Rhinolophus ferrumequinum: one gene and its partners. The protein of the gene in region 1 interacts with the protein of each later gene in a pairwise test. Links are inferred from orthologs where the notes say so. Each region holds a gene or a part of one and is shown in the gene's direction. Other genes may lie near its edges.

Region 1 (7,180 bases):
CAGTAATGAAATGCCTCAGGTTTTAGCTGGACACAGAGCTAACAGTCAGAGACTACATTTCCCAGCCTCTCCGCAACTGGAGGTGGCCATAAGACGAAGTTTTGGCAATGAATGTGAGCGGCAGTGACGAGTACCTTCTGGGACCTCCCTTCAAAGGAAGCTGCTTGGCCTCCATGACTTCCTGCCTCTTCTTGCAGGTTGCTCCTTACCTATTTTTTCCTTTTTTCCTGCATGAAGTAGGTGTTGGAGATTGTGCCCTTTTGGAACTACATAATTTCTTAGGCCTTTTCCTGATAGAGCATGTATAGAGGTCTGGAGTTGCTGCAAGCATCAATATCTCCTAGGCTTTTGCAAAAAGGGGAAAATATGGGCCTATGAATAAATTCTGTCCAGTGGGATGTAAATGAAAGTGGGGTGCAGTGTCTGGGTAATGCCCATAAAAGAAGTTCTCTGCTTTCTCTTTCCTAATTCCTGACAGTAGGGATTTGCCCCAGTGGTGGAAGCCCACTGGGATCCAGGGCACCATCCTATAGGATATGAAGCAAGAACATACATGCGTCCTATGTCCCTGGACCTACCTCATGGGGAAGCAGGGCCAAACCTCCCTAGATTGTGTACAGATTGGGACTTTTATGTGGGCAAAGCAACTTCCATCTTAGTTATTGTTATTTGGTATCTGTTATAGTATCTTAATATGTAATTTATAAATATTGACCATTACCACTGTGTGTTGAATGACTATATGATTGTAAGTATAAAAGTTTCAATATAAGAAAACTAATAATTATTATTTTTCCCATTCAGCTGAGCTTTGAGCACAAAACATCTATGGTCTATTGAAAAAGAAAAGAGTAATATAAAGATTAAATTGAAGTCAGCTTCTGTATCATAACCTTGGGTCCATATCCTAACTTGTTTATTCATAAAGTAGATTAATTAGCCTAGCACGCATTTGCTGTCTGTGGAGACGAGGCCAGTACAACATTGAGCTACCGGTCTCTAGATATGGGCTGTAGCACACCACAAACAAGGCCTTTCAAGGGAGAATGAATGGTGAAATCATCAAATTCTGTATCTCATATCACTCTTTTCAGGCAAACATTATAACAATATGAATTTGGATGTTATTCTCTGACTGCAGAACTTTTGTCCTTGCTTGTTTTCATATAGAATGCAACAACAATTTCAAGGAAGTAAAGGAACTACTTGAAGAGCAACAGTTGACATTGGGATTTAAAACACTAGCCATTTACATTTATTATTATTTTAGAAATAATTTTGCATTGCCGTACATAAATTATGCCTCTAAAGAAGGATTTCTGCTTGCACAGCTCATATGATTGAATCTGTTTATGATCAAGTTTGTGTACTTATATTACTAGAGCTCTAGCAAAGAAACAACAGGAGTCTCCACATAACACCTTAAGGTATAGTTCTCTATGTCTTTTGTGGAAGAGCACTGGAATGCTGACTTATTTAACAGGCAAGTGTTTGGAAGAGGAAACTGAAGGCAAGACCCAACACTAGAAAAACGGTTTGGGAGTTGGCTTTTGGAACAAGGGGTTGTAATTAAGAAAAGGGAGAAATCAGCATATTGTTTTCTGAATCAAAATAAACCTCAAAAACGACAGGCATTTTGACTTATAATGCCAAAAGGTCTAAACTGCTGCAGACAGAAGCGGTGAAATATAAATACTGGACAGGAAAAGAAAAGGGTTTTATTTCCTATACCATTGAAGTTAGTTTGTATAAAAGGTATTGTCTATCTTTCTTTTATCAAGATTTTCTTGTTGTTGGTAGTTTTTCCTGGGAGTAGTAAGGACAGGGGCTTTGTTTTGCTGATGCCAAATCCCCAGAACTGTGTTTAACTAGTTCTTAGCTTAAAAAGAAAAATGAGTTGTTGATTGAATGAATGAATGGATGAATAATGTTTGCATCTAAAAATTATTATTTCCACTAAATGAAGTGAAAGAATTATCCATCCTATTTTGAAGATTTCAACAGAGAATATTACACTACATAGATATTACACTATGAAATTTTCCCTAAAAAATATGAAAACAAGATAATTTATCTCAAGTAAGTTGTTTATAAAGAAGGCTGCTTCATGTTAAGCAGATTTTTTTTAATCTTGTAAGCATAGTTATTACATTTGGCAATACTGAAATATTTGATTTTCCAGAACTATGACTTTAGTGTAAAGCTATGTTTAAAAACATGATTATGAACAGAGGTTTATAAAAAGAAAGAATCTAACTAATATTTTTTACGTCTGTGAAAAACATATAACATTGAAAAGTCACTAAGATTTTAATCATAAATATTATGCAGAAGAAAACAAATAATTAGCTTGAACGGTTATGGTATTCTGTATTGCTGATAGTCATCTTTGAAATACATGCAAAATGACTGCAGGTACAACAAGCAGGAACTTTAGTCTATTTCCGATAATTTTAACTACTGTGAAGCAACTCACACACATTCCATAACCAGAACATCACTTTGTGTAGCAACCTGGAAATCTGGCCTAGGGGTCCTGAGGTAATCTGTTCCATTCATGTATTCTAAAGATGTGGTTTAGGAATAAGATATTAGGTTTGCAACATTTATGTAAAACAAATAATGTGACACTGGAAAGCAATAGTATTCATTTAACATAATGAGTTGCTATGCAATATGTTAGAGCCTCCCAGAGTGTAGATTATACAAATTTGAAAGCTGCATTTATTATTTATATCTCTTTCCCAGATAGGTGCTTACTCAGTAGTAAAACCAGGTTTAGCATACCAAATTTAAAGCTGTTCAGCAGATCCAAGGACTTTTTTTTTAACCTACCACACATGTAGCTAAACCATTTGTGTACATTTTAAACCTTTTTTTCCTTAGTAGTACTGAGAATATTTTAACTACCACAAATAATAGAAATGAAATATGCATTGTATTAATAGCCAGAGATACTGAACTAAAGCTTGCATTTAAAAAAAAAATATTATTTAAAAGGTCTGTCTGGAAAAACACTTCATATTAAGTTGCCTTGCAGTATTCCAACAGGCTGACACCATTTTGTCAGAAAGAATTGTCTTAGGGTAAATGTTAGGATATCCTGATATCTCCTCAGTTGAATTGATGAGGTTTTTTACTATAGATTATCTAACGAGTTTATGTTCCCAGCTGTACGTAAGCACATGTCAAATTTTGCGAAAGAGTTTAAGATTGCTAATGACTCACCTTCCATCAGGCCCTTTGCTGAGTAGGGCTAGTTTAGGAATCAGTAAGTAAAGTAAAGGGGGTCTTTTTGCATCATAAATAGCTTAAGAGTAATTTGGGGTGGTCTAGAAACCATGAGTTATTAGGAAAGTGCTTATAACGGGCATATCACTTGCTCCGAACCCTTTCTAACAACCTAGCCTGGACCTCCACACAATGTTGGGCACTGTCTGCCACGGGCCAAGTAATGGCGCTTTTTGGCAAAGCCCACCCAGGGCACGGGCTCAGAATCCATGCTAGGGCCGGCCAACCTCTATAACCTGGTGTCACCTGATTCGGAGCGAGGGCATTCAATTCAGGAAGATCACTTACGACCGAGTTTTTCATCATGGCTTTGACTGTGAAGCCCTCAGAAAGCAGGGAGTGAGGCTGGTGCACCGGGAGCGACTGTTGTGCCAGCAGCTTGGTCCTCTTCGGCATCTTGTCTGGGCATTTGTTTAAGCTCAGGGTCTCTTTTTCTGCCACCATCTTCCTAGAAAATGTCTGGTTCTCATAAAAACGTGTGGTAAAAGAATCAGTGGGTTTTACGGATGTGAGAAGGAGGTCGGGAAAAAATTGTAAAAAATTACGTTAATGGTAAAAATTCAACCCCTCGTAGTGCCCAGGTTGATCCAGGTGTTTGGCAGCTCCTAGGTGAAGGGAGTTGAAGGGAGGGGAGGGGCGGGAAGAGGGCTGGACCTTGGCTGGGGCTACAACCAGCTTCCAAAGCTAAATTTCCTGGTTACTAAGCGACGCGTCAACACTGAGGCCGAATGGCCGCACCCCGCCGTGACGAAAGTTTTCTGGGCCTTAAACCGGAAGAGCGGCGGGCGGCTGGCCGCCGGCGGCGAGCCGAGAGAGGAAAAGCTGTGTTAAAACTACAACTCCCAGAAGGCTCGGGGCTGCGCGCCGTCTGCGCGTGCGTTCCAGCTGCCAGACTCGGGGAGGGGAGTCCTGGATATTTTAACCTCCGAGAGAGAGCCGCGGGTGGGAGGCGCGCGCGGGCGACAGTATGCGCGTAGGCCCTTTCCAGCCCAGCAGTCTCCATCTGCCCAGTGACCATGATCGGTACGTGGTGCATGTCAGGTACAGCCTCTCTGCGCCGCCATGCGCCCAGCTGTGGTGCCACTCCAGGCCTCGGACAACGGGGATCCCTGGGTGCCCACCGGTGCCAACTGTCAGTGGCAGGGTGGCAGTGTCTGTGCTGTTCTCAGCCAGCGCCGCCAGCTTCCCAATGCCCGCCGTCGTCCAGCAGAATAAGTGTGTCTGTCGTTCTAAGCCCCGACTCCGCCCCTGGTTTGACAGGCTTCCTAGTGAAGACAACTTTGTGAGGGAACCTGGTGTGCGCCTGCGCGCCTCCCTAAGTGAAGGCAGGGTCGCGCGATCCCACAGCGAGCGCACTGCCCCCCAGACCCGTGGGGGTCCGTGGGAAGGCCCCGGGGAAGTACTTCCCCCCCCGTCGCTTTCCGTCCCTCGGGGCACCTTGGCGGCTGTCTTCCAGTTTAGGACAGACAGACGTTGTAGTCTGTACCCACTGTCTGTGGGACTCTAAGGGAAACCCTAGCGGAGCGTTAGACTCCAATGGAAAGCACCTGGTGATGATGGTTGGGCTCATCAGAGATGCCTTCAGAAGGATTTAAACTTCTGTTCCCTCGAATTTTTTCTTTTAAATCTCTCATCGGAGGTCTGAGATGAAAGAATAATTAAGAGTAAATAATAACAACAAGTAAACCTTTTTGCATGATGAATTAACGATTCATTATGCAAAATTATTTTTTTCTCGAACACAAAATGACCTAGGTGAAAGCTTTGGAAGTGGCTATTGGAATTGTTTATAAACACTACAATGTACAACATTAGCAAAATTCCTCTATTTCAGGATTGCTAAGCCAATGCTATTTTAAGGGTTATCTCTGAAAATTAGTGGGAATGTTTAGTGTGGTTAGAAAAGTTGCTTCTCAGTGCCCACCATGGTTTATTATTTCCAATAAATTTGGAAATTTATTGTGACAGAGACTTGCTCTAGAATATGTATCGGTTTGATGAGCTTATTTGGAGATCATGCCTGATGCGTACCATTTAACACTTTTGACTACAACAAGTGCTTTCGAAGTCAGATGTCGTCTATCCAGAAAGATGAGAGGTGGATTTTTTTAAATGTGTGATTTCTATGCACTGATAAGCGCTTCTTAAGTCTTTTATTTATTAAATTAGTGTTAACATGTAAAACATTTTACCTACTACTGGGTGAATCACACCAGTTAACGACACTGCCTTTGCAGCGATGATAGAAACCAAAGGATGTTGTCAGGTTTTCTTAATTTTCTAGCGTGGCATGATTTTTTCAAAGTTGCCAAGTTAAGAAAAATGTATACATTTTAATGAATCTTTTGAGTCTTTTTAGGTGACAGTTACACAAGATCCACTTGTAAGCACAAATTTGAATCAAAACCAAGTAGAGGAAATTTTTCAAAATCCTTGCTGTCAGTATTCTACAGAAAAAAAAGTATACCTTATTTTGAAGACAGTTGTGCAAATGTTATTTTAATTCAACTTAACTAGTGCGTGGAAAATTTTAAAAGAAATAAATTTATGGTAAAGCTATATAAAGACAGGGACCTAAGATCTAAAAATCATCACTAAATTCTAAATTGTTATCTAATAAATGGCTCTATAACTATTCGGATGAAATATGCTTAGGTAGTTTTGTTTAGTTTTTACTCGGGATTTCAGAACACAAGTGGGAAGAGTGATCTTTGGATGTGATGATTAGACAGCTCTCAATAACTGGCATTGACATGAAGACTATAAGGTGGATTTTTAAGAATGTTCTTTCTCATACTCCAGCTGTTCTTCATCACGCGGTGCAAGTAAGTGTGTTTTACAGCATAAATAATTAAACCCATGCCCCAGCCTACAAAAAGTACCTTACCCATAACAATCATGAGTACAGTGTGCAATGAATTATTTTATATAACTTGTTGTATTGCCTAAATCTGTCGGTGGGCACATTTTAATAAAAATCTTAATTGTCCGTTTTGGGCCTGGTTATGTTGAATAGTGGTAAAGGTAAGTGAAAATGGAAGCAATTGAAGGGAAGTCTTACAGTGATGGGTTTTCTGTTTCCATGACTAAACTTCGGAGCCCGGAAAGGCATTACAGCTTATACCCAGTGATCAGCTGGAGATCAAATTATATGTAACTATATATTGAGAATTGTTTTTTTTTCCTATTTAAAGACCTGTGCTACTCAGAACTTGCCCCTTTCATGCCTGTGCTCTTTTTAATTGCTATACCTTCTTTAATGCAGATAGTACTCTTCCACTTTATTTAAATCTTGGGTCACTTTTGAGGAAATGAGTTACTTGGTAAAATAGGAGTAAGGTATTGCCTCTTTACCAATAAAATTACCTTCCTTTTCCTTTTTAAAACCCAGATTTCCTTCTTGGCACTGCGACTGTTTCAAAAGCACTTACATTTCTCACTTGGATAATGATTGATATGTTAAATGCCCTGACCCAGACAGCTACAGAAACATAATTTAATTGAAGTCAGTGAAAAATTATGACTTTGTGAGAAGTATGGAGAAGGATTTCAAGATAATATAAAGCAGAATGGAAAAACCTTAAGAAAATTCAACTTAGGAAATATAACTTTTGGCATCTCTGTTAAAAATATATTTCAACCTTTTTAAAAATTAGCAATTTTTGTGTTTAAAAATTAAATTTTAATGGTGATATTTGTGGTATATTCTAAATCTCCTATAGAACTGGACTGGTATTTGAGTAGTATCAGATATTGAAGTGCATCGATATATGTGCAACATTGTTGCTAGTATTGAATTCAACCTCTTACTCTTTAAGAAGATTTTTGATTCATTAAAACAAATAATAATTAGAACATAGTCTCTTCTGTACCTTGTTTAACTTAACAT
Region 2 (7,055 bases), on another chromosome or scaffold:
CTTCGCCATAGGACGATCACCTCTGTCTTCTTGGGTAACTGCCTTGGGCCGGAGTGTCATTTTCTTCCCTCTCCTTGAGCCAGTGGCGTGGAGGTTTTCTTTCCCCATGTGTGTAGTAAGGGGCTGGGAAGACTCCGAGGATGGGACAGTGAGTCCCTTAGAGGTGGCCGCATCAACAGCTTCCGGAACGGGTGCACCTGTGTCCTGGCTGAGTCCCCTAGAACTCAAAGACAGACCCTCCACACCCAGCTGATGTCCTGCCGGCACAGACTGGACTTCAAGGCCAGCTGCTCTGCCGTGACTTGGACCCCAGGACAGAGACACGGACCCCAAGTCTTCCACCTGGTCCGATTCTGGTTTCACGGCTGACTCTGGGGCTACGTCACCTTCCTCCTGGTTGCCCTGGTGATGTGGGGATTCAGTCGCCGTAGTCCTTCTCTTCTTACCGGGCAACATTTTTAAAGTCCTACTTTGGTTCCATCCTGAAAGGGTAAAAGCAGCTTCTTATCACCCTCGTTTTAATTACGATAATAGGATTTCCTCACGCATCTTTTCACTTACTCGTGCTCAATCATGAACACAGGACTTCACACCAAGTACACAATCTCCCGTTAGGGGAGAGTTGAGAGACAGCAGTTAGAGGGCCTGAGTTGAAATCCTAACTCTACCACTGATCAGTAAGTTATCTTGGCCAAGGGACTTCACCTCTCTAAACTTGTTTCCACAACTGTAAAAAATAATTGTTGCTACCTCATAGAGCTGTTATAATTACACAGTACGTGTTCGTTATTATTATTACCATCAGGAGGATAGAACAGCATGATCCTGAGAGCAAACTGTGAGTCAAACTGTCTGGATTTGTTTCCCGAGTCAGCTTCTCTCCAGCTTTGTGACCTTGTGTAAGTTTCCTAACCTGAAGCTCACTTTCTTCAGCTATAAAATAAAAACAGCACTTACATCATGAGATAGTAAATGATTCGATCAATAAATGTCTTCTGTTGTTGTTTCCATAAAGGGGTAGTTCCATTAACAGAAACAATCCAAAAGCAAAGTGTGGCTGTTTGAAGAGGTTAGGCCATGTTAACAGAAATTTCATATTGAAAGCAAGAGAGATTCCTACTGTTCTCTCTAGTGTTACTTCTGGACTCTCGCCCTCAATTCCAACGATCACATTTTGAAGGCAACGCTAACCTAAACTGGAGAGTATCTTCTTTTACGTTATCATAGCACCTGTTCGCAAATCTCTTTGATGGCACATATCACTTTTGTGATTTGCTTCTTGTCTTCTTCCCATCTCCTCTCTCCCCAAAACTATGCACTTTTTCAAGAGAACGACTCTTTCAACCAGTACTACTACTCAGCAGTATCTGCCCTATAGTAGATGCTCAATGAACATTCCCTGAATAAATGAATGAAAAGAGGGCATGAATTTCCTATTCAGTGCTTATTCCTATGCAACATTTAGAGCAAGAGTTAAGCATTATGTGGAAACTAACTGCATCTTTCTACCCCCCAAAAAATCTTTCCTTGATGAAATAGGTCCAAGAATAGAATAAGCTGCCGTGTATTACAGTGAGTCTTCATCACTGACAATGTTCAATGAAAGTCTGAACGCCCATCTATCAGGGCACCAGATGAAAACATGGACCAGAGGGCTGCCAAACCAAGTTCTTTCTAACGGCGAAGAGTCTGAACTATAAGGTTAGTCTTGAACCTCCCTAACTCAGTTTCCCCAGGACACTAGGAAAGATCTCCCCCCAAACCCCCATCAACAACGCCCTTATCTTGATATTTAAAGCTCAGTAAACACGTGAAGGTTCCGCTGATCCCTGTAAGGGAGGGTGGTGAGTGGGGAAGGGAGTAGCTTAGGCGAGTCCTATGTTTCACAGATGAATTACTGAGGTCCAGAAAAGGAGGGAGAAAGGGGAGAAGGGGAAGAAAGGAGGCAGCCACCATCCAGTCAGCAGCGCACAGGTCTGGGCTCCAGGCACTGAAAACACAGCACTAGCTCTAAACAGCGCCCCCCCCCACGCCCCTCCCCCGCTTCGGACACGAGTCAGACCAACAGTGAATGAATGCGAATCCAGACGCAGCCCAGGGCGGGCCCCTCCTGGAAAAAGATTTCAAAAAGGGACCCTAACTGCGCTGTCGACCTAAGCGGAGAGCCCTGGCCCAAGTCCCCACTCCCAGCAAAACACCCTCACAACACTACCTTCTACCACGCACCCGGCGCCAGACCCGCGCCTGCCCTCAGCCCCGACCCCGCCCCAGCCCTCAGACCCGGACGCCCTCAGCCCGGCCACGCTTCGCCGGAACGTCCAGCTCCCACTGCATCTTCCCGCCCCACAGCACAAGACCCAGTGAGCTCACCAGCCGGCCTGATCCCGCGGAAACTCGGTGTCGGCACCACCGGAAGTCAGCCAACGGCAGCGACTTACGTGCGCGACCCCGAGTCGCGGTGCGCGGCGTCAGGTCGTCGAGGAGCATGCGCAGACCACGAGGCGCCATCCTATGTAAGGGCGGAATGAAGCCGAAAGACTAGCGCGTCAGTTGCTGGCAAAAAGAAATTTAAAGGCAACGCTTCGCTTTCTCGGTCCATGGAGCGATCCTACTCAAAACAAAACTGGGGGTTGAGATTCAGTGGTTTAGTTAGACAACTAATCCTTCTCGCGGCGCGACACCTGGAATACGGGACCAAGGAAGTGGAGAATTCATAAAATTTCAGAAAGAGGAATCCCTGGGTTACAAGCAGTGCAGTTTCCTGAATAAAGCTGTCTCGGACTCAATCCATAGTAATCATTCATATCTGTATAATACTCTGCATTTTACAAAATGCTTTCACTTACATTATCATAGGTGATTTGATCTTCACAATAAACCCAATGGGACAATGGATATTATTAAACCTTCCAATTTACACAAGACAAACTTCTAGCTCAGGTGGGAAGGTGATTTCACACAGCTATACACAGCTATCAAGGGGAATCAGGTATCCTAACTAGCTTCTTCTCATGCATCGTTCTGGTACCTGGGAATGTGCCTGGGGCATAGTTGATGTTCAATAATTCAACACCTGTGTTTTGAACGAATAAATGACTCCTAGAACCGCGTTCTTTCCGCTCTTCTAGGACAGAATGTCAACGCTGGAAAAATAGTCAACTCTCTCATTTTACAGATGAACCACCAATAGATATTTATCCATTTAAAACTCTGTTTGACCCCATCCTGTCTGTAAACAGAATCCGACAGGATGAAAAGTATCCACAGTCAAAATGAAGAGTGATTTGATGGAACCATGGACAACCTGCCAGTTGTCTGACTCTACCTGCACCACCCTTACTCTCCCAAATGCCAAGACAGTCTCTGGAAGCTTGGAGTTTCATTTGAGTCCTGCTTTTGAACCTACAGAATACAGATCTGTTGGTTTGCTCTTCCCCCCGACCCGTCACCCCCCCCCTTTCTTCTCCCCTCCCTCCTAAGCAGCCCTAAGCTCCTGAAACTTTTGGAAGAGACATATCCAACACTAACTTTGGCACTCTTCCTTAGTCTTTTTATAAAAACAGCTTTAATGTACACACCACACCACAAAATCCATCCGTTTTACTTATAGAATTAAATTATTACAGGTAAATTTTTAGAGTTGTGTGTCCACCACAAGGTTTGGTCTTTAATTAGAGTTTCTTAAGTTTAAGAAAGCTTCCTATAACCTTTAGTGGTCTCAGAAATGCATAACAGTAATGGCAATGGATACTGAAATGCAAGCAGCATTGAATTTTGTTATTCCAAAATCCTAGGCACCCAGAACATTCTGCTGCTATATTAAGCCCAGGGAACTGGAATCACAGGATCTATAGAACCTCATATGATAATGTACCTACACTTCTTACTCAGGCCTCAGGGTTTTCTCCTTATAGACCCACAGCCTGTCAGTGGGCGGAGTCTCATTCTTAGGCAATCTCGGCGATGGGAGGGGTCCCCTCCCGGGGATCTTCCGGAAAGGGGCGGGCCTTGCCTTCCGGAACTTTTCGGACAGAGGCGGAGTCTCCTGCCGAGGGCCGTTCGGAAGAAGGCGGGGCCTACCTCGCATCAGGACCAGTCTGCCTGCACCTGCATCCTTAGCTCAGAGCATCCCTGGAGCATCTTAAGAGGAGACCGCAGCTGGCAACCAGGGACCAGACCGTCGCAGGAGGCGTCTGCCTGATACCTTCCCCCTCCCCTGACCTAGCAGTCTACAGCGGCCGCTTCCGTACTGACCGGGGGTTCCCAGAGTTTGTCTGACCGCTGCAAAAGCATTTTTCTAGCGATAACCTGTGATTACGACATGGCTGAGATCACCAATATCCGACCTAGCTTTGGTAAGTACAGCCCTTCAGCATCTTAAGAGGTAAACTAAGCCTGGGGTAGTCGACACCGTTGCAAAGCCAGGAGAGCCCAGCAGCTGGACAGGGAATGGAGCCCAGACCAGGGCCTTCAAAAGCCATCCCCGCTAGAATCGGGCCTGTGTTGGTGAGTAGCGGGCAGTGGACAGCGCCTGAACTTGAGCTGTGGGCTGCAGGGCTGGGAAGGCCAGAGCCACACAGAGGGTGGGAGGTCCACGATGCGAAAACCTTGCGTGGTGCACCATCGGCATTGCTGGAGGTGAAAAACAGCGAGCTTCGGGAAGACGTGAACCCCTCCCTCTGGGGGAGGAGAGGTGGGGTAGGCCGAGCCCTCCCCCTTGGGGCACGCAGGGCGGTGCCCCTTCCTCCCTCTCCTACTCCTCAGGGATGCGGGGGAGGGAGGTGGCAAGGGGGATGGGGCATCAAGATGGCAGCTTGGATACTGGGGGTTGTGTGGCTAGCAGCCAGGGGAGGCGGCGGCCTCTGGGGAGAGAGGTGCGGGGGTGGGGAGCAGAAAGGAAGCCACTCCTTAAGCCGGTCAGCCGGATGCTGGAGCTGGGAGGAAACGTGAGCACTGCAAGTTGTATTCTGCACCGTAATGGTGGGTCCGTCCGATGCCTCCAAATGGCGCTTGGTGCTGTTGGGCTGGGGGATGACGTGATGTCTATTTCTGGGCCTCCTGGCAGCGCCTAGGCGCTTCCTCCCGGGCCTTTGTTCCCTGTTTCCCTGGGCTGGCTTGCTGGCTTTTCAAAAAGGGGGACTCACCCGCGCTGGCGCTGGCAGGGGCCCGATCCAGGCCCGAGGGGGAGGGGCGAGAGAGGCCGAGCCCGGGGGAGGCCGCTTTGTGTACCAGAGAAAGCATTACGTCATCTCGGCGCCGCTGGTCCCCGACCCAGCCCGATGGGCTCCAAGATCCGTTACATTCCCTGGAGCAGAGTAGAGTGGAAAATAGGGGGACGATGGGAAAGAAAAGCTCGAGAAGCAAGTTTTTCCCCCTTTGGAGATTCCCCCAAAATAGGCTAGGGCAACAAACTTCCTGTGCTGTCCTCTCCCGGTGCAAAAACGAAAAAGAATTACCCAGCTTCTCCGTCAGTTCGACCCCAGTTCGGGTGGTAGAAGCCAGTCTGAGTGCTGTCAGCCTAGGGTTCCTTCATACCCCTAAGAGATCCTAACCCTCAGACAATCTGGAAGGTTAGGGTGGGGCCACAGTCCCACCAGCAAATGGCTTTCTCACTGCCCAGTAAGGGGTCCGTGGAAATGAGCAGAACTCTGTGCAAAACTCCCTCAATATCCAGAGAATACAGGAGAGGACATGGCGTCAGGGAGAGTCTGCAGACAACAGATCACACCTCTAAGTACTCGTCCCACGGACTCCCAAGGCTGAATCTTTATGGTGTTTCTTCCCCTTCACCTTTTGCTTCGTTCCTCTTTCAGTCCCAAATTTCCAAAACATGTCCCTTTTGCGGTCGCACAGCCCTCCATGATTTTCTTTCTGCTCTTTCCTTTTCTTCTTATGCCTTCTTGCCAACATATTTCTTCTCTAATTGCAGTCCCAAGTTCCTTGGAAAGTGAATGGTGTGAATTTAATGTAATGATTTCCTGTAGAGGGAATATTAGTGGAAAAGAGAAAAGAAATTATATCAGCCTTTTACATACTACATTTCATTAGATCCTTACAAATAGCCTCTGGTGTTGGTATTATATATATTTGCCAGATGAGGAAACTGAGGCTCAGGGAGATACAATAAAGTCGAAGAAACTAGTGAGGTGATGGTAGGATTTAAACCAATATCCAGTTGATGGCAAAGATCATTCTCATTTCACTGTATCACACCGGCCACCTTGACAGGAAAAGGCTGTTTTAATAAAGGGAGTGTCAATAACGGGTCAGATCAGAAGCTGACTGAGTTGGGCATAGTCCCGATGTGTCGTGCAGGTCTTTTGACCTGTACAGAGGGTCTCCCACATAGAGAACTTCCACTTCTGACTTTTTCAAGTGTCCCAGAGTACTTCATTTCAAATGCCATAGCCCTTGGGAGCTACACCAAGCCAACACTCCATTTTCCATGACCGTGGAGGACAAAAGGAGCAAGCAGCCCCCGTCACTGCAATTTACAACTACTTTGAAACACATTTCAGCCATTAGGTCCAAGTTCTTTTTCCCACCGAGCTTTTGACGAAAGCAAGACAAAGGGTTCTGAGTTTCAGCATCCCTGATTCTTCTTCTTCACTGCCTTGAGTATGGGGGAGATAGACAGGGCTTATCTCAACACTCAAATACAGAAGAAAGTGGGGCAAAGGTGGGAAATAAGGTGGGGTGGGGGCGAGCTCTGGGGTGATCAGTACATGGATCTGTCCGTTTCTCTCCTTTTCCTTCTCTGACCAATGACAGGTGAGAATCCTTCATGTTCTCTCTTACCCACCCCACCTCCATTTTCTAATACTAAAAGTTGAGGCCGGGGAAGCAGCAGTGGGTTCTCTCAAGATCACAGAGTAAATTTATGGTAGAGCCAAAAGGGTCACGCAGATTATCTCCCAACCTGGCCCTTTGGAGCTCCCTTTCGAATAAGTCTCAAAAATATACCTGTCTTGGTAGTCCCCTGCTTTCCTCTTCTCATGGAGATAACCAATGTTCAGTTTCATGAATCAGTAGCAAACAATTTTCAGGAAAGTCCC
Region 3 (7,017 bases), on another chromosome or scaffold:
ATGTCTAAAATGGATTAGTACTCTCTACATAGGAATGGTAGGTAAACTGGAAATACCAGTGCAAAGAGATTCCTTATTTACTAGAAGAAAAGCAGCCCTTCTTCAAACTTAAAAGAAAAAAAAAAAACGACAGACTCTCAGTGAGTGATATACATGTATAGACCTTTGGAAATCTTGTATATCATGAAGCCAATATCCCAAAATTCCCAAAAAGGGAGTCAACAGGACATTTGGCACCGTAATGATTTGACAAAATTCTGTGCACAGAACCTAAAATCCCAGGCAGAAGAAATTCCTTGCTTCTCTTCTGCGTTTTATACCTGCAATGTGCCTCCAGGTAACTTATTTTATAAGAAAGCATTTCTAATTACCTGCTCACCCCTGAGATTCTGTGTAGTCTACTGTCGCAGGTGAGCAGCCACTGGCATATGCTGGGCACAGTCTCCCCAGCGTAGATTGCACCCTTATGGTCCTGTAACTGCAGAAACCTATTACAGGAGTTTCAATATATGTTAGTATTTGTATTTGGGGAAAAACAAAAAAGTTGTGATGCGCCTGCTGTCGGTTTTCAAACAGAACCCAGATGCTTCAGTAAGGTCAGGACTCTGACCTTGAAGTGGCCCTGCCTGCATTTGAAGGGTGACCTACTCCACACTATGGATGAATTTAAGGCAGAACCACAGATGTGCTCTCCCAGGAATAAACCACACAAACACTGGGAAAATTATTAACTCCTCTATCATACGTGTCAGGTATTAGGTTGAAACTCTGATTCATTCCTGACAAAAGCACTCACCTTTTTTCTCTTATCAGCTTCTGGGGATGCCAATTACATTCTAAGAAAGATAGTAATTATGATTTTTAAATTTCAGATCCTATCACGGATGAAGAGTGGCATACAGAATCGTGTATACATTCATTCTGTTAAAAGTCTATTTCACCAACTAAAATTCAATAAGACGAAGAAGGCAAAGGAGAAAAGAAAAACAGAGAAACAAGACAAGTGTTATACTTCTTCAAACGTGGTCAACAATTAGGGTATTTACAGTCTTCATTTTTTCCAATTACTCATCAGCCCCTTTGCCACGTGGTATTTAATTTCCTGGTTTTTTGTTTGTTTGTTTGCTTTTCCTGTTTGAAAACTAACTACCAATTTAAGATTTAGGAAGTAAGCAATAGGTTTACAGCTCTTACAAATTTAGGAACGAAGATATCACTGACCAAAACAAGCAAAGCACAGAGAAATACACAGAATGATCCTTTTGTGGGGTTTTTATGAAGCATATATCTTGTTTTCTAAATTTCTAAAGCGTAAGTATGAAACAGTTTTAGCTAATAATACTGATTTTTGATTAAGAAGAGCTAGCATGCAGGGGGAGGGGAAGAATCACAGCAGGGGAGACTTTAGCTTTTCATATTCTCCCTTTGGCATGACCAGAAACTTGTCTTACTTTATTTGCCTTCTTCTGCAACTTATTTTTTTATTATTATTTTTTTTAATGCAAAAAGTTCAAGAACTATCCTGAGAACCTCCATCCATCACTAACGTGTTCAGAGAGCCTCTCCAGTAGAGGGCATGACAGATTCAACATAGAGAACATATAGTCAGTTTACCAAGCCGCTCTCAAGCTGTGGTTTTGCTATGTAATATTCACAACCTATTGTATTGTTTCTTTCTTCACCACAGAATGGAAAATATGTGTCATTTTGATATTGAGCAATCCCCTTTACCTAAAAGCCAGTTGCAACAAAAAAAAAAACAAAGGGAAGTCATCAAACACTGTAGTTTTCGCTTTAAATATAGGTCTGCTTGTCTTTAAAAAACACAGTAGCATGGCAATCTTTTCACCAAAATGTTTCTTAGTCTGTAGAGGAGACTGGCTTAACTCTTAAAATTGCCCATAGACAAAGAAATGTTAAATTACATGCAAATTTATCAATCAACCTCATAATTTTCAGGAAAAAAAATTAATTTTCTGCCACATAACACCAGTTGTCAATCAGAAATGGTTTATGAAAAACCAAATCATTATCATTATATTAAACACTTACTGAACCATCTAGAATATATTTAAACTAGTGGCTTCCATGTATACATATACTCATATACGTATATTTACATTTGTGAGTATATTGAGATGACTGAATTTTCTGACTTGGAGATTTCTGAAAAGTTTAAATGTCAAACAGTTCGCTTATTTTCCGTATTGCTTATTATCCAGAGAGCATTTACTAAGTATCTATGAGCTGGAAACTACAATTCTTTGTGACATTATCTTTCTCTTTTAATAGTACTTATACATTTATAAACTAATTAACTCTTTGAGTTAATCCTTTAATGATTTTTCTACCTTGAGTAGCTATGCTTCCAGATACTTCTTTTTTCTTACATAGGCGAATTAATAACAAGCGTTTGTATAGTATTTTAGAACTTGCAAAGGCTTTTCACATAAGGGCCACATGATATATAATGAGGTTGGCAAGAAAGATATGTTACTCTTGGTACAAATAAGAAACTGGGGCTCAAGGGGCTGTGATGGGATTGTCCCAATGGTTACTTAGCATGTACTATCTAAGCTGAGATTCTAATTGGCGCCCGTGACACAGCCCAGCTCTCTCTCCTAACCGCTTCTTTGTCAGAACACCTGGCCTTTCCATTATTAGAGTTATACTGTTCAATGTTCCAAGTGAAAAATACATTGAGGCGTTTATTGTCAAGAAAAAGCAAGTGTATGCACATTACCCATATTTAATAAACATTGAAACATCGAAGTAAAACTAGATGTAGGAAATATTCAGCAGTGTTCTTCTAGAGATGAAGAGCATATGCATGACAAAAATGACAATTTTACATTTCACAAACATGTTTTAAAGTATTTATTACTGAAATCTAAATGATTTTTCTTTTCAAAATAAGGTACATGGCTTTCATCTTCAGTAATAATTGCAGATCTTATCCTCCATTTCAAACTTGGAGCTCCAACTATGGGCAGTTCACTGTAAGAATCTGTTAAACCAGTTCCAATTTTCTTTTTACAGTTCTAAGGCAAAGTAGGGAGAATATTTGCAGCCTCGTCAATACCTTGCGGTTAAGCTTACTGCCTACTTAGATGCTTGAGGGGGGATGCACTTGAAAATCCCCGTGTTCGATTCTAATGAAAATCTGAAATCCAAGCATTTTGTACGTGAGGTTCTCTCTTTGGCCTTACCAGTCCAATCACTCAAAGCCTGCTACAGCAGACATGGCTTCTGAAGAAATAACAAATTAAATGTATTCAAGCACACTGTTAGCCTCTCCTCTTCGTCCTGCTCTCTCGCCAGTTCTTCGGTGTTCTAGCAAATCGTAAGACAGCCACAAATGAGTGACAAGGAACCCCAGCATCTTTGCCCTCTTAAACGAGAATGATTCTGGTGCATTACAGCTGCCGAGGTCATGGTGTCTCCCTGTACCTCATCATCACATGGGTGATTTCTGTTCTGGAAAGAGAGGCAGCCAAGGATTCCTGAGGAGTCAGCATACAGTCGCACGAACTGTCACGTATCTAGTGGTGATCACGAAGGCACCCCTAGCTAGTAGAGCACTGTCGTCTAATCCAGTCACTTTCTCCTGTTCCTTTCCTAATGTGCATTCCAACAGGGTTCCAAGATGCCTTTGGGGGTCAGCCCAAGCAAGCATGGCAGGATTGGAGCGGGCCCACACCCCCGCCCGGCCTCCACGCCTGGCCAAGGTCGCCGGCGACTGCTCAAAGCCAATGGTCTCTGCCAGCCTCACACCGCCCAGGCCGGCCGCCACATTCCGCCCCAATGCGCCACAAGCCGGGGCTGCAGACGTCAGCAGCGCCCTGGCTTCCAGACCTTTCTGCGGGGACCGTGGCCGCTGCAGGGCCGCTGCAGACCCGCCCCCGGGCCCATCCGCAGCCGCCCAATAGGCGCCCTCGGGGGGCGGGCCCGGCGTCGTGTGGCCACGCCCCCATCCTCTTCGTCCTATAAATACCGCAGCGCCTCTCCAGCTGCAACCAGCGGCTGCACCGGAGGCTGGATGATAATGCAAAGTGCCATGTTCCTGGCTGTCCAGCACGACTGCGGATCTATGGACAAGAGCTCCAGCAGCGGACCCAAAAGCGAGGAGAAGCGAGAAAAAATGAAGCGGACGCTGTGAGTACGGCGTTCTTCTCTCCCCAGCCACCCTTGCAGACCTAGCTCTCTGGGTTTGCTGCAAACGCGGGGCTTTGGCACTCGTCTTAAACAATAGGAAGCAATGTAGCCTGCGCCTCTGCAGGGGGAAAAATGTAGAAAAGCTTCATTTGCTAAGTAAGATTAAATCTGTGTGGTCGGTAGTTTCCGCGAGTGAAGGAATGTCGGGTAGAGTTTAGGAGCTGAAGAAAATTCTTGATCTAGAGGCGGCGGTAGATGCGCTGAGAAAATCGCGGTTGGGTTTTTGTCCCCCTGCATTTAAGTTGACAGCAGAGAATCCCGGGCTGAAGGGCGTCCCCATCATTCATACGCTGCATTTTCACTTCTGATCAGTTTCCACAGACAGCTCTACAGGGTTGGAGGGATTTTTTTTTGCTCGTTCGGATATGCCTTTTAAATCCACGTTTTACTTTTAATGTTATGATTTAATTGATCATGCGCTTACATGAATGTTGTAGTCAGGAGGTGGGTGGTTCCATCACACACAGCCCTCCTGGTACACAGCTTCTGGCTGGTCCAGAACCTCAGCTCCAAGGGCTGAAGGGAAGTGAGCACGGACTGGCTCCAGGCAGCTCCACTGTCCGTTTCACCAAGTGTGAAATGCCTTCGGATTGTAATGAACGTTGCAGAAAAACTGCTGCCTTTTGCGGGCTAGAAATAGCATCTGCCTTTTGAACTATATGCAAACTAAATTCATTACACTATGCTAGTCATTTCAGGTAATCCTTCCCTTAGTTATAAAACCTAGTAGTTATGTGCAGATGAATGGGTGAAACTAATTGTGTTCAATACATAAGTGTAGCGATTAAATGTTAAATGTGTCAGAGTGACTTGAAGAGTTCTTGTTTTGTCTTATTTGGTTTTGTCTGTATTTACTGGGCGACTTTGGTAAAAATGCCATCAGCTGCTGTAGCAATGTCAAATGTTGCCACTTAGTGAATCTTTTTTTCCCCCCCTTTTCTTTTTAGATTAAAAGATTGGAAGACCCGTTTGAGCTATTTCTTGCAACATTCCTCCTCTCCTGGAAAGCCCAAAAACGGCAAGAAAAGCAAACAGCAAACCTTCATCAAGTAAGTTGAAAATCTTGTTCTTGCAAATTTGACGAGCTAGCTGTTGAGCGGAAAAGGGAACTCTGAAGATCTCCAAGAGTAAGCTGATGTGCACCCTTTCTCTTGCAGGCCTTCTCCTGAGGAAGCCCAGCTGTGGTCAGAGGCTTTCGATGAGCTGCTGGCCAGTAAATGTAAGTTACCTTCTTGAATTTAATCCCTTTCAAGCATCACTGGAGTCTGGAAAGGTTCTGTGCACACTGCACAAGAGCAGCTTGCCAGATGCCATTTGACTTGACAGTCATCGTGACACTCGCCTTTATGCCCCAGTGTCTACCCATGGAAGTGCATGCTTTGTTCAGGGGGGAAAAGAAAACTTAACCTAAAAAAAATTAGAGTGGTGGTTGCTCTTGGTTAACATTGAGTCAACTTTTCCATTGCATACAAGGTTTTCAAGAGGCTTAGCTCCCAGAGAATTTAGGGCTCCCCTATGAATATTTCCACTGATGGCAAAGTTAAGTATTTATATCTTTGTAGCAGTGTGCCAGCTGAAGCATTTTGTCTACTGGCATCTTAGTCTTTAAAGAGCTCAATTCTGAGGATTACAGGTTTGAGTGATATCGAGGAATTTACTATCATCTCTAAATAAGAAAACACAGAGGCAAGGGAGTGGGAGTTATAGGAAAACATGTAAGGGATTATTTGGTCATTCCATTCACAATCTGAATGTTTTCTTCTCCCTCTCTCCCCCTTCAGATGGTCTTGCTGCATTCAGGGCTTTTTTAAAATCTGAATTCTGTGAAGAAAATATTGAATTCTGGCTGGCTTGTGAAGACTTCAAAAAAACGAAATCACCCCAAAAGCTGTCCTCGAAGGCCAGGAAAATATATACTGACTTCATAGAAAAAGAAGCTCCAAAAGAGGTAAGAAAAATAAGTTCTTATTTTCAGCATGTTTTGAACATTGTTAGCTCCAAAGCGAAACAAAAGACTTGAAGTCAAACTAAAAGGGCTTGGGAGTGGGGGGAGTGTTTTTTTCTCTTACCTTAGCTTTCAGTTAAGTTGATTAAGTTTCTTCAATGACTTGGCTGGTGAAGCTAATCATGCATTATAGTTTTTAGTTTTTGTTGGCAAATATTAAATACACAGTCTTAAATCTCTGACTCTGAATATAGAATAAACCACTTTTTGTGTTTTATTTCAGATAAACATAGACTTTCAAACCAAAACTCTAATTGCTCAAAATATACAAGAGGCTACAAGTGGCTGCTTTACGACCGCCCAGAAAAGGGTATACAGCCTGATGGAGAACAACTCTTATCCCCGTTTCTTGGAGTCGGAATTCTACCAGGACTTGTGTAAAAAGCCACAGATTCCCACGGAGCCACACGCTACATGAGATGCACACAGGACCCCCAACGTGGAGGACATTTCATTTTTTCCTAAGGGAGAAAGGCTGACCTGCCCAAAAGACTGCCCTTGAGTTCAGCCTGGGTGCTGGGGAAACATCACTCAGAACTGTTGATTCGAAGTTGGGTAGTGAGCAGGGAAGCCCGTCGCCGTCCAGAAGCAGCATGTGTCGGGATGGCCTCCATGACTGCAGGCACACAGAGAGAACGTGGTCTGAGCATGGTGTGTCTCCCACCGTAAAAGCAGGGATGTGAGACTGAAACAGACGGTGTAATACTCTCGATCCAAAAGCATTTTTACCATCAGTAGGTCTGGGATTATGTGGCCTTAGCAGCTGGATGTACATCTTTCCCCCAAATCAGTCTATG
Region 4 (7,709 bases), on another chromosome or scaffold:
CTTAGAATGTAGACCAAGGAGACAAAACATATAAGAAGAGATGGGGTGGGGGGGGACAGAGACATCTAACCTGATAGGAATTGGACGGGGCCTAAAAGTCTTTGAGCTTGAGAATGAAATTGGAGTTGTGCTTTGGGAAGAGTAACCTGGTATCAAGGAGCAGAACTATACATAGAAGAGAGGCACCAGAGGCTAGGAAGCTAATTCAGCATTCAGGAAAGATGAAACAAACGGAAAAGAGAAGGGGAAAAAACTCCTATTTATTGAGCACCTGTTATGTATTAAACATACTCTTAAATGTTTCACATATTTGAACTGGGAAGTGACAGGGGTCATGAAAAGGAAGAAAAATATTTAAAAAGATACTACAAAGAATCAGCAAGACTTCACAGCTGATTTCGTGTTTACATATGTATATTTTGGTATATCCACATGTGCTTGGGTGGGTAGGGTTGGAAAAGAGAAACGTCCAAAAAGATGGAAGGTTTCAATTATTGGCAACCAGTAAGGTAACAGTGGTATCATGAGAGGAAAGAAAAGGGATTACACAAAGGAAAACAATGAGAAAGGAAGATGAGTCACATTTTTTAAAATGAGGCATCCAGGCAAAGTTGCTCAGTAAGCAGTAGGGAATTATAGGGCTAGAGGTGAAAGAGATGGCATTCCAGATGTGTAGATAGAGATTATCTTCAGAGAAATTGTCCTTGAAGCAATGAAATTGTCCTTGAAGCAATGAAGAAATTGTCCTTGAAGCAATTTGGTTATTAATGGAGAGACTGAAGACAAAGAGGACAAATTCTTAAGGATTCCTATATTTGCAGATCTAGAGCTGTGCTGTCCAATATGGTAGCCACTAGCCACACGAAGCTACTTAAATCAATTTAAATTAAAATGAAAAATTTAGTCAGTCACACCAGCTATCAATAGCTATATGTTCCTAGTGGCTACCATATTGGACATCACAGATATAAAGCCTTTCCTACATCACAGAGAGTTCTACTGGACAGCATTTATCTAGAGATTGGTCAGAGAGAACAACCAGGAAAATTTAGTCTCCTGAAGCCAGGGAAAACGTTTCAAGGAGTGAATGAGAAATATCAAGTTCTTCAATGAAAGCATATGAAGGCCAAAACAAACAATAAATTTAATGACCTTGAAAGCCATTTCAGATTAGTAATAAACTTAGAAACTAGATTATAAGAGATTTTGGATAAGATGGGTGATAAATAAATAGAGATAACAGGTGTAGACAACTCTTTCCAGTAATTTTTCAGTAAAGAAAAACAGAGAGAAATGGAAGCCTAAGGAAGCGTTGAAAGAGAATCAAGTTGTGTATGTACGAGCTTAATATAAGCATGTCTGTGGACTCACTGAAAGACTTAGATACCAATCAACCAGCTATCCACCAACTTTCGGAAAACCTTTCCTGTAGCAGTGACAAACAATTGAGGGGATAGAATCACAATTTTAAAGCTATAAGGAGCTTTAGCAAGCATTTAATCCATTGGTCACATTCTATAGAAAGCAGAGGTGCCCATAGTCACAAAGCTCAGTGGTATTAAAATTTAAGAACTCAGGTCTGCATGTCTCGGTTAGACATTTCACCTCACTCAACTGCCTCCTAAGATACAGACCAGAGAAGAGATGAAAAAAGCTTCTTCTATTGAGTTCCATTCATTTGGCAAAAAACAAAACAACAACAAAACAAAACCAAAAAAAGGAAATGTCTATGTTCACATATACAAAACTTTGATTTTTTAGGATGGAGACATAATTTTCTAACTTCTATAAAATTTAGGGAAAAAAAGAACTAAGCATTGTCTACTATTTTATAACAAACATTACACTAAAAAGACCTTAAATATTATTGAACTAAATCTTGAATATAACCTGAGAGGTGTGTGTTTTCGCTACTTGACAGCTTAGAAATTTATGCACCAGTTCAGAAAGGTCTAGGGCCTGCCTGCTGGCTCAGGTGGTTGGAGCGCTGTGCTCCTAACGCTGAGGTCGCAGGTTCTATTCCCACGTGGGCCAGTGAGCTGCGCCCTCTACAGCTAAGATTGTGAACAACGGCTCTCCCTGGAGCTAGGCTGCCGCTGTGAGCAGCCCAAGGTCAGTGTGAACTGCCATGAACTGCCACAGGCTGCACGGGCTGCTGTGCGCTGCCCTGAGTGTCTGGCAGCCATCATGAGGGGCCGGCAGCTGGCTGCTGTGAGCGGCCAACCACCGATCAGCGACCGACTGCCTCAGCCGGGGGGAGCGCAAGGCTCATAATACCAGCATGGGCCAGGGAGCTGTGTCCTACACAACTAGACTGAGAAACAATGGCTTGAATCGGAGTGGGGGGTGGGAAGGCAGGAGAATGGGGGGGGAAGGTCTAGTGACAAAGCTAGTGACATTCTTACTCAGTTCTATACTATATAATCATTTAGGAAATGATAGAGAAAATGGGAGAAAAGAAATTAATAGGCTCAGGAATGGAAATGGAATATTTAACAAAGTATAATATAAAAGTAACAAGAAAGAATTCATTTACTGGTGCCGATCTTAATAAAATCCAACCCTTTAGTTAAATATTAGTTAGTTCAACAAACGGAAACTCTAACACTGATTTCCTTTGGAGAGGGGAACTGGATGGCTGGGAAATAGGGGTTGGAGAAGGACTCTACAACTTTTGGATTGTAACCATAACAATCTGTTATCTCTTCCAATAAATAAGTTTTTTCAAAAACTTTAAATGTTTTACTTCCCACCAACAGTTTGTAATTACTAGCATTCTACAATCCCCTATGAGGCTGCAGAAAAGAATGGCAATTTCAGGAAAGAAAAATGTTAACTCTGTTCTGAAAGGCAAGGTAGAAAATACATGCCCAGGCAGAAGACTTGCTTTGGGGGGTTGGGAATCAGGACAGGAGAGAAGCCATTTGCCTGCAACAATTAGTATATGTGCAGCCAAAGCCGGCACTGCCTGCAATCATTACTGTTTGATCAATTCAATTCTATTTCTAACATTTTCAGCTCATCTCTTCAGTCTGTTGCTAAGGAACCCTGTTGCCTGAAAGCAATTTACTGATAGGAACTTACATAAGCAAGAGAAAAGCAATGATCCTGAAACTTTCAAATTACGCCATTCTAATTTAACCCATCTATTTTTTTGCCACTTATTATCTTTTATGTAGTGCTACCGTGATGTTGAAAATCCTTCGATGTATCCCAAAGGTAAATGATCACTTGTACATTTTTTTTTAAAGCAAACTCTTTTTTTTTTTTTTTTTAAAGATTTTATTGGGGAAGGGGAACAGGACTTTATTGGGGAAGGGGAACAGTGTGTACTTCCAGGCCTTTTTTCCAAGTCAAGTTGTTGTCCTTTCAGTCTTAGTTGTGGAGGGCGCAGCTCAGCTCCAGGTCCAGTCGCCGTTGCTAGTTGCAGGGGGCAAAACCCACCATCCCCTGAGGGAGTCGAACCAGCAACCTTGTGGTTGAGAGGACGCGCTCCAACCAACTGAGCCATTCGGGAGCTCAGTGACCCCTCAGCTCAGGGTGCCATGTTCAATCCTAGTTGCAGAGGGCACCGCCCACCATCCCTTGGGGAACCCAAAGAACCGAACTGGCAACCTTGTGGTTGAGAGCCCACAGGCCCATGTGGGAATCGAACCAACAGCCCTCTGAGCTAGGAGCATGGAGCTCCAACCGCCTGAGCCACCGGGCCGGCCCCACTTGTACATTTTTAATAGAAGGGTCTGCAGACCTGAAATGGGAGCCATAGTCCTAAATTTTGATTCTCTATTAATACTTGTCTTTTCTTCTTTAAAATACTATGAATTTTAAACAATTCTTGGCAAAGGAAACTTTCCTATTTTAAAAGGCCTAGTGACAAAGCTATTAGATATGTAATATTAGGTTGGAGCAAAGGTAATTGCGGTTTTTGCAACTTTTAACCTTTTAACCAATTCCTTTTGCACCAACCGAATAGCTGTGGATTGAACTTTCTATCTGAGGGCTGAGGGAAGTGGGCTGAGACATCTGAAGTAAAACAAGCACGGCCGTGGGCGGATCACAGCACTGAGGAAGGAGGGGGCGAGTGCTCCAGGGAGCGTGGTGTGGGCTGGGGTGCCAGGCGGAATCCAGTAGAAAACACAAACCCGTCAAGGAAAGGTGGGAACTCTGGGTCTTTCACGTTTCTACCCACTGAATTCGAGAACCTGGTAACAACACACAGATGTCATCGCTTTCGCAATTGGTGCAGACCGGGAGCCGCAGGGACCACATTCAAGCCGTCTCAGCTCAGCCAACCTGGATTTGCCGATTTCCATCCAGTCTGATTTCTGTCATCTGCCGTTGCCCCAATATCCTCAAAATCATCCAAAGTAAAATTTGGCCATGGTAGAGATAAGATTGGTGATACAGCACGCTATCTTCAGCTTTGACGTCTTTCCTCTCACATCTTTAAAAGTCCTTCCAATCCGCTGGTTTGCAAGACACGCGGAAAGAGAACTAAGCTGACTGCCGCTGGACTCTAAGAAGCGCCAACGTGGCGGTAACTAGACAACGAGTATCCAAATTCCACCAATAACCTGGGCAGTTCGGCCTATGTCCCGCCTACTACTCCTGCCAGCCAATAACGTTCACAATTCCTCTGCCAGCCCCGCCTATTCCTAGGGCTGCGGTGGAGCCTACGGTCTGGTCGCCTGCACACCGTAAAGCCCGCTGTACACGCGCAGCTCCTCGGCTTCGTTAGACCGGAAGGCCCTCTGCCCTTTCCTGAAGGTCCAGGGAACGAACGTCATCTGCCACCACTGGAGGCCCAAGACCCCAGAAGTTAATCTCACCAACCGTAGCGGGGTGAAAGCAAATTGAAAAGGCTGCCCAGGACGCCCACCTGACCCCAAGTGTCCCTCAACCGGAAGTGATTTTCTCCTCTTCCTCCTCCCACCCACGGTTAAGAAGGGAGGAGAAGGGCAGCCAGGTCTGGCCCGGCATGCCTCGGGCTTCCGGTGACCTCTGGCCCTTTTCTGTCGCACGCTCTGCTTCCTAGCGTGCTCGCTCGCTCACTGCCTTCCCTTCCTCCGGTTTTCCTTCGCGCACTACCTGGTGACTGTGGCGCCCGCGACCGGCAGAGAGGCGGTGGCGGAGGACACCCGTCATGGCCGCCTCTAAACCTATAGAGGCGGCGGTGATCGCTGCGGCTGCGCCCGGCTCCGGGAGTGGGGTGGGCGGCGGCGGAGGTGCGACCGCGGGCCCGGGCGCTGGGGGCCTGCCGCGATGGCAGCTGGCCCTGGCGGTCGGGGCGCCCCTGCTGCTGGGCGCGGGTGCCATGTACCTGTGGAGTCGGCAGCGACGGCGCCGAGAGGCCGGGGGCCGAGGCGAAGCCGGCGGCCAGAAGCGCCACAGTGAGCGGAAGACCCCGGAGGGCAGGGCCAGTCCGGCCCCGGGCAGCGGACACCCCGAAGGCCCCGGTGCTCACCTGGAAATGGTGAGAAGCAGCGCTGGGTCATGGAGGTGGAACCCAGCGATTGCAGCCTTTCCTTGATGGGTTGTGCCGGTCAGGGGGCTTCCCATCAGACGGCAGCACGTGGGTTTAGGGAGACTCGTGTCTGGCTACCTTTATAGGGAATGGAGTAGCCGGAGGGCACAGGCTAGCGGGCTTCTTTGACAGTTTCCTTTTGGTTTCAGAAAAATATTTTTCTCAGTGACACAGCATTTATCCCTAGTGTTGTGGGTACGGTGGACATTTGCAAATAGTGATGATTGTGTTTAATTAACTAGTGAAGGAAGCCAAATTCCGTTAACGCTTAATACCTGGTAACATGAATTGCTTTGGTGATATCCAAGGCCTAGAACTTAATCGGTAATAACCTTTTAATAACGAGGCACTCCCCTTTTTTGAAGTGTTTTTGGTTGACAGTAAAAAATGGTGTTCATTGGCATTTGTTTTTTCATCTGTGAGAGTGCTTAAACATTTTGGGTAGAAGCATCTTCAGTTCCATTTTTCATTTTACCTGGAAATTGACATGACCAAGGTTGACATTGGTGAAACAGATTCTCTGATGTTAGGAGAAGCATTGGAGAATCTGGTGAAGTGCTTTGTATGCTTTTGTTGAACTATTAAATCCTTTTGGTATCTTAACAGCTGTGCAGGAAATTGGCCAGGCTGCATTTAACAATGTAGGATGGGGTGAGAGAGAGGGTTTTATCCACCTCTGGGATTATACAGTGGTAGTTACAGAGTAAATCAGAGGTCAGAGAAACCACTGGTCAAATAACTCCTAATTATATATACATTTGCAAGTCATTTCCACGTTATACTATTCTGAATGAAGACATGTTTTCTTACTAAGTAGTCAAATTAGCTTTAAAGGAAATTTTGATGTGGGAACCAACTACCATAATTTAGTACATACTATATGTCAGTCATGGTCAGTCATGAGAGAGCCAGATAGTTTTTCTAATAGAGTAAAACAAACATTGCCCTTTTTTTTTGATATAGAAAATATGCATTACACTATGGTGAAAGAACACATGATCTGTGCGAACTAGGAGATGTGTGCTTTATGTTGGGCTCTCCAGAATAGTTACCTTGGGAAAGTCATTTTCTCTCTCCGGCCTTAGTGTCATTCGGTAGACTAAGTATTAAAATACTAGATTAGACTGTTCAGCCCTAATGGTGATTCTGAGTTGCTAACGAGAATGGTAATCATGGGCATTGTTTGAATTAGTCATCACTTGTCTTACGTCATTTTCGTATGTCTGAAATTCTCTGGTCATTTCCTATTTCATTTGTCAATTTAGTTTTAATCACAGAAGAATAAGAGATGAATGAAAAACACATAAAAGTTCTGTTATATAACAATCACCAAAAATAAAGATAGCTTCTACACATGAAACGAGGTTTTGACGTTTCATTGAAGTTTCAAATACTACCCCATCTCACCCATTTGGTATTTGATAGAATTTAGCAAACTTTCTTGCAGATTTTAGATTTCCTTAAATCCCATTTTCAGTTTTTCAGCATTGTCTGTGTCAACACTGATGATTTTTAAATTTCATGTGTTTTCTAGTTTTATCAGAACAATTCTTAAGTTCACCTGACTGCTATTAAAAATTAGACCTTAAGAGTAACTTCTTTGTGTGCTCGAACTGCTTTAAAATGATTTATTTTTGACCCAAAATAAAACAGAGTTAAACACTTGTACATAGTGTTGTACTTGTGGAATTTGTGGGCTTTTACCTATAATCTTGCTTTGAGTTACTAGGTGATTTTTTTTAGTAAAGCGACAATAAGAATGCCAATTTTTTAGTGGAAATTTGTATTTTAACTGTTTGTGACCAATAAATACTAAAAGACTTTTTTTATGGTCTAGTCGTTGGAGTTGTTATTTGACTATCTAAATATAATTTGTTTATTATCTGTAGTTGGAGAAATTGCTCTGTATTTAAATAGCACCTTTAAGTTGGCAACCTCAGTGGATTTTGTAATTAAGGAAGCATTTGTTTGAACTAATGGAAGAACTGGCAGAATCCTGATGCCCTTATTGTTCTTTCTTCACTTGAACGATAGCTATAATTTTGAAGGGAGTGAAGGAATAGACATATTGTCAGCTTAGGGTTCATTATCAGTGAATAATATGGGAAGATCAGTGGTTTTTGTCATTTGACTTATGTTTGCCTTTATGTAAAATTAACTAATAAAACTACTGGATTTCTCTCTT

The links.
Region 2: the proteins of PRKN (region 1) and SYT11 interact in binary tests that used the Homo sapiens proteins (3 or more experiments, as listed by UniProt). The link is inferred for Rhinolophus ferrumequinum from reciprocal best matches to the Homo sapiens genes PRKN and SYT11.
Region 3: the proteins of PRKN (region 1) and RGS2 interact in binary tests that used the Homo sapiens proteins (3 or more experiments, as listed by UniProt). The link is inferred for Rhinolophus ferrumequinum from reciprocal best matches to the Homo sapiens genes PRKN and RGS2.
Region 4: the proteins of PRKN (region 1) and TOMM70 come close enough for resonance energy transfer, tested with the Homo sapiens proteins (3 studies listed by BioGRID). The link is inferred for Rhinolophus ferrumequinum from reciprocal best matches to the Homo sapiens genes PRKN and TOMM70.

The regions. Positions count from the first base shown.
Region 1 is NC_046286.1:103,102,096-103,109,275, reverse strand, and holds the start of PRKN (E3 ubiquitin-protein ligase parkin), read left to right. Parts: upstream 1-4,161; 5' UTR 4,162-4,307; coding exon 4,308-4,314; intron 4,315-7,180. Other genes in the region: PACRG (parkin coregulated gene protein), read right to left, coding at 3,580-3,735. UniProt on the Homo sapiens protein: Functions within a multiprotein E3 ubiquitin ligase complex, catalyzing the covalent attachment of ubiquitin moieties onto substrate proteins. Substrates include SYT11 and VDAC1.
Region 2 is NC_046305.1:536,878-543,932, forward strand, and holds the start of SYT11 (synaptotagmin-11), read left to right. Parts: upstream 1-4,047; 5' UTR 4,048-4,321; coding exon 4,322-4,355; intron 4,356-7,055. Other genes in the region: GON4L (GON-4-like protein), read right to left, coding at 1-456. UniProt on the Homo sapiens protein: Synaptotagmin family member involved in vesicular and membrane trafficking which does not bind Ca(2+). Inhibits clathrin-mediated and bulk endocytosis, functions to ensure precision in vesicle retrieval.
Region 3 is NC_046310.1:5,165,052-5,172,068, reverse strand, and holds the start of RGS2 (regulator of G-protein signaling 2), read left to right. Parts: upstream 1-3,995; 5' UTR 3,996-4,039; coding exon 4,040-4,155; intron 4,156-5,162; coding exon 5,163-5,264; intron 5,265-5,372; coding exon 5,373-5,434; intron 5,435-5,996; coding exon 5,997-6,163; intron 6,164-6,443; coding exon 6,444-6,638; 3' UTR 6,639-7,017. UniProt on the Homo sapiens protein: Regulates G protein-coupled receptor signaling cascades. Inhibits signal transduction by increasing the GTPase activity of G protein alpha subunits, thereby driving them into their inactive GDP-bound form.
Region 4 is NC_046285.1:29,616,683-29,624,391, reverse strand, and holds the start of TOMM70 (mitochondrial import receptor subunit TOM70), read left to right. Parts: upstream 1-4,708; 5' UTR 4,709-5,143; coding exon 5,144-5,473; intron 5,474-7,709. Other genes in the region: LNP1 (leukemia NUP98 fusion partner 1), read right to left, coding at 4,294-4,362. UniProt on the Homo sapiens protein: Acts as a receptor of the preprotein translocase complex of the outer mitochondrial membrane (TOM complex). Recognizes and mediates the translocation of mitochondrial preproteins from the cytosol into the mitochondria in a chaperone dependent manner.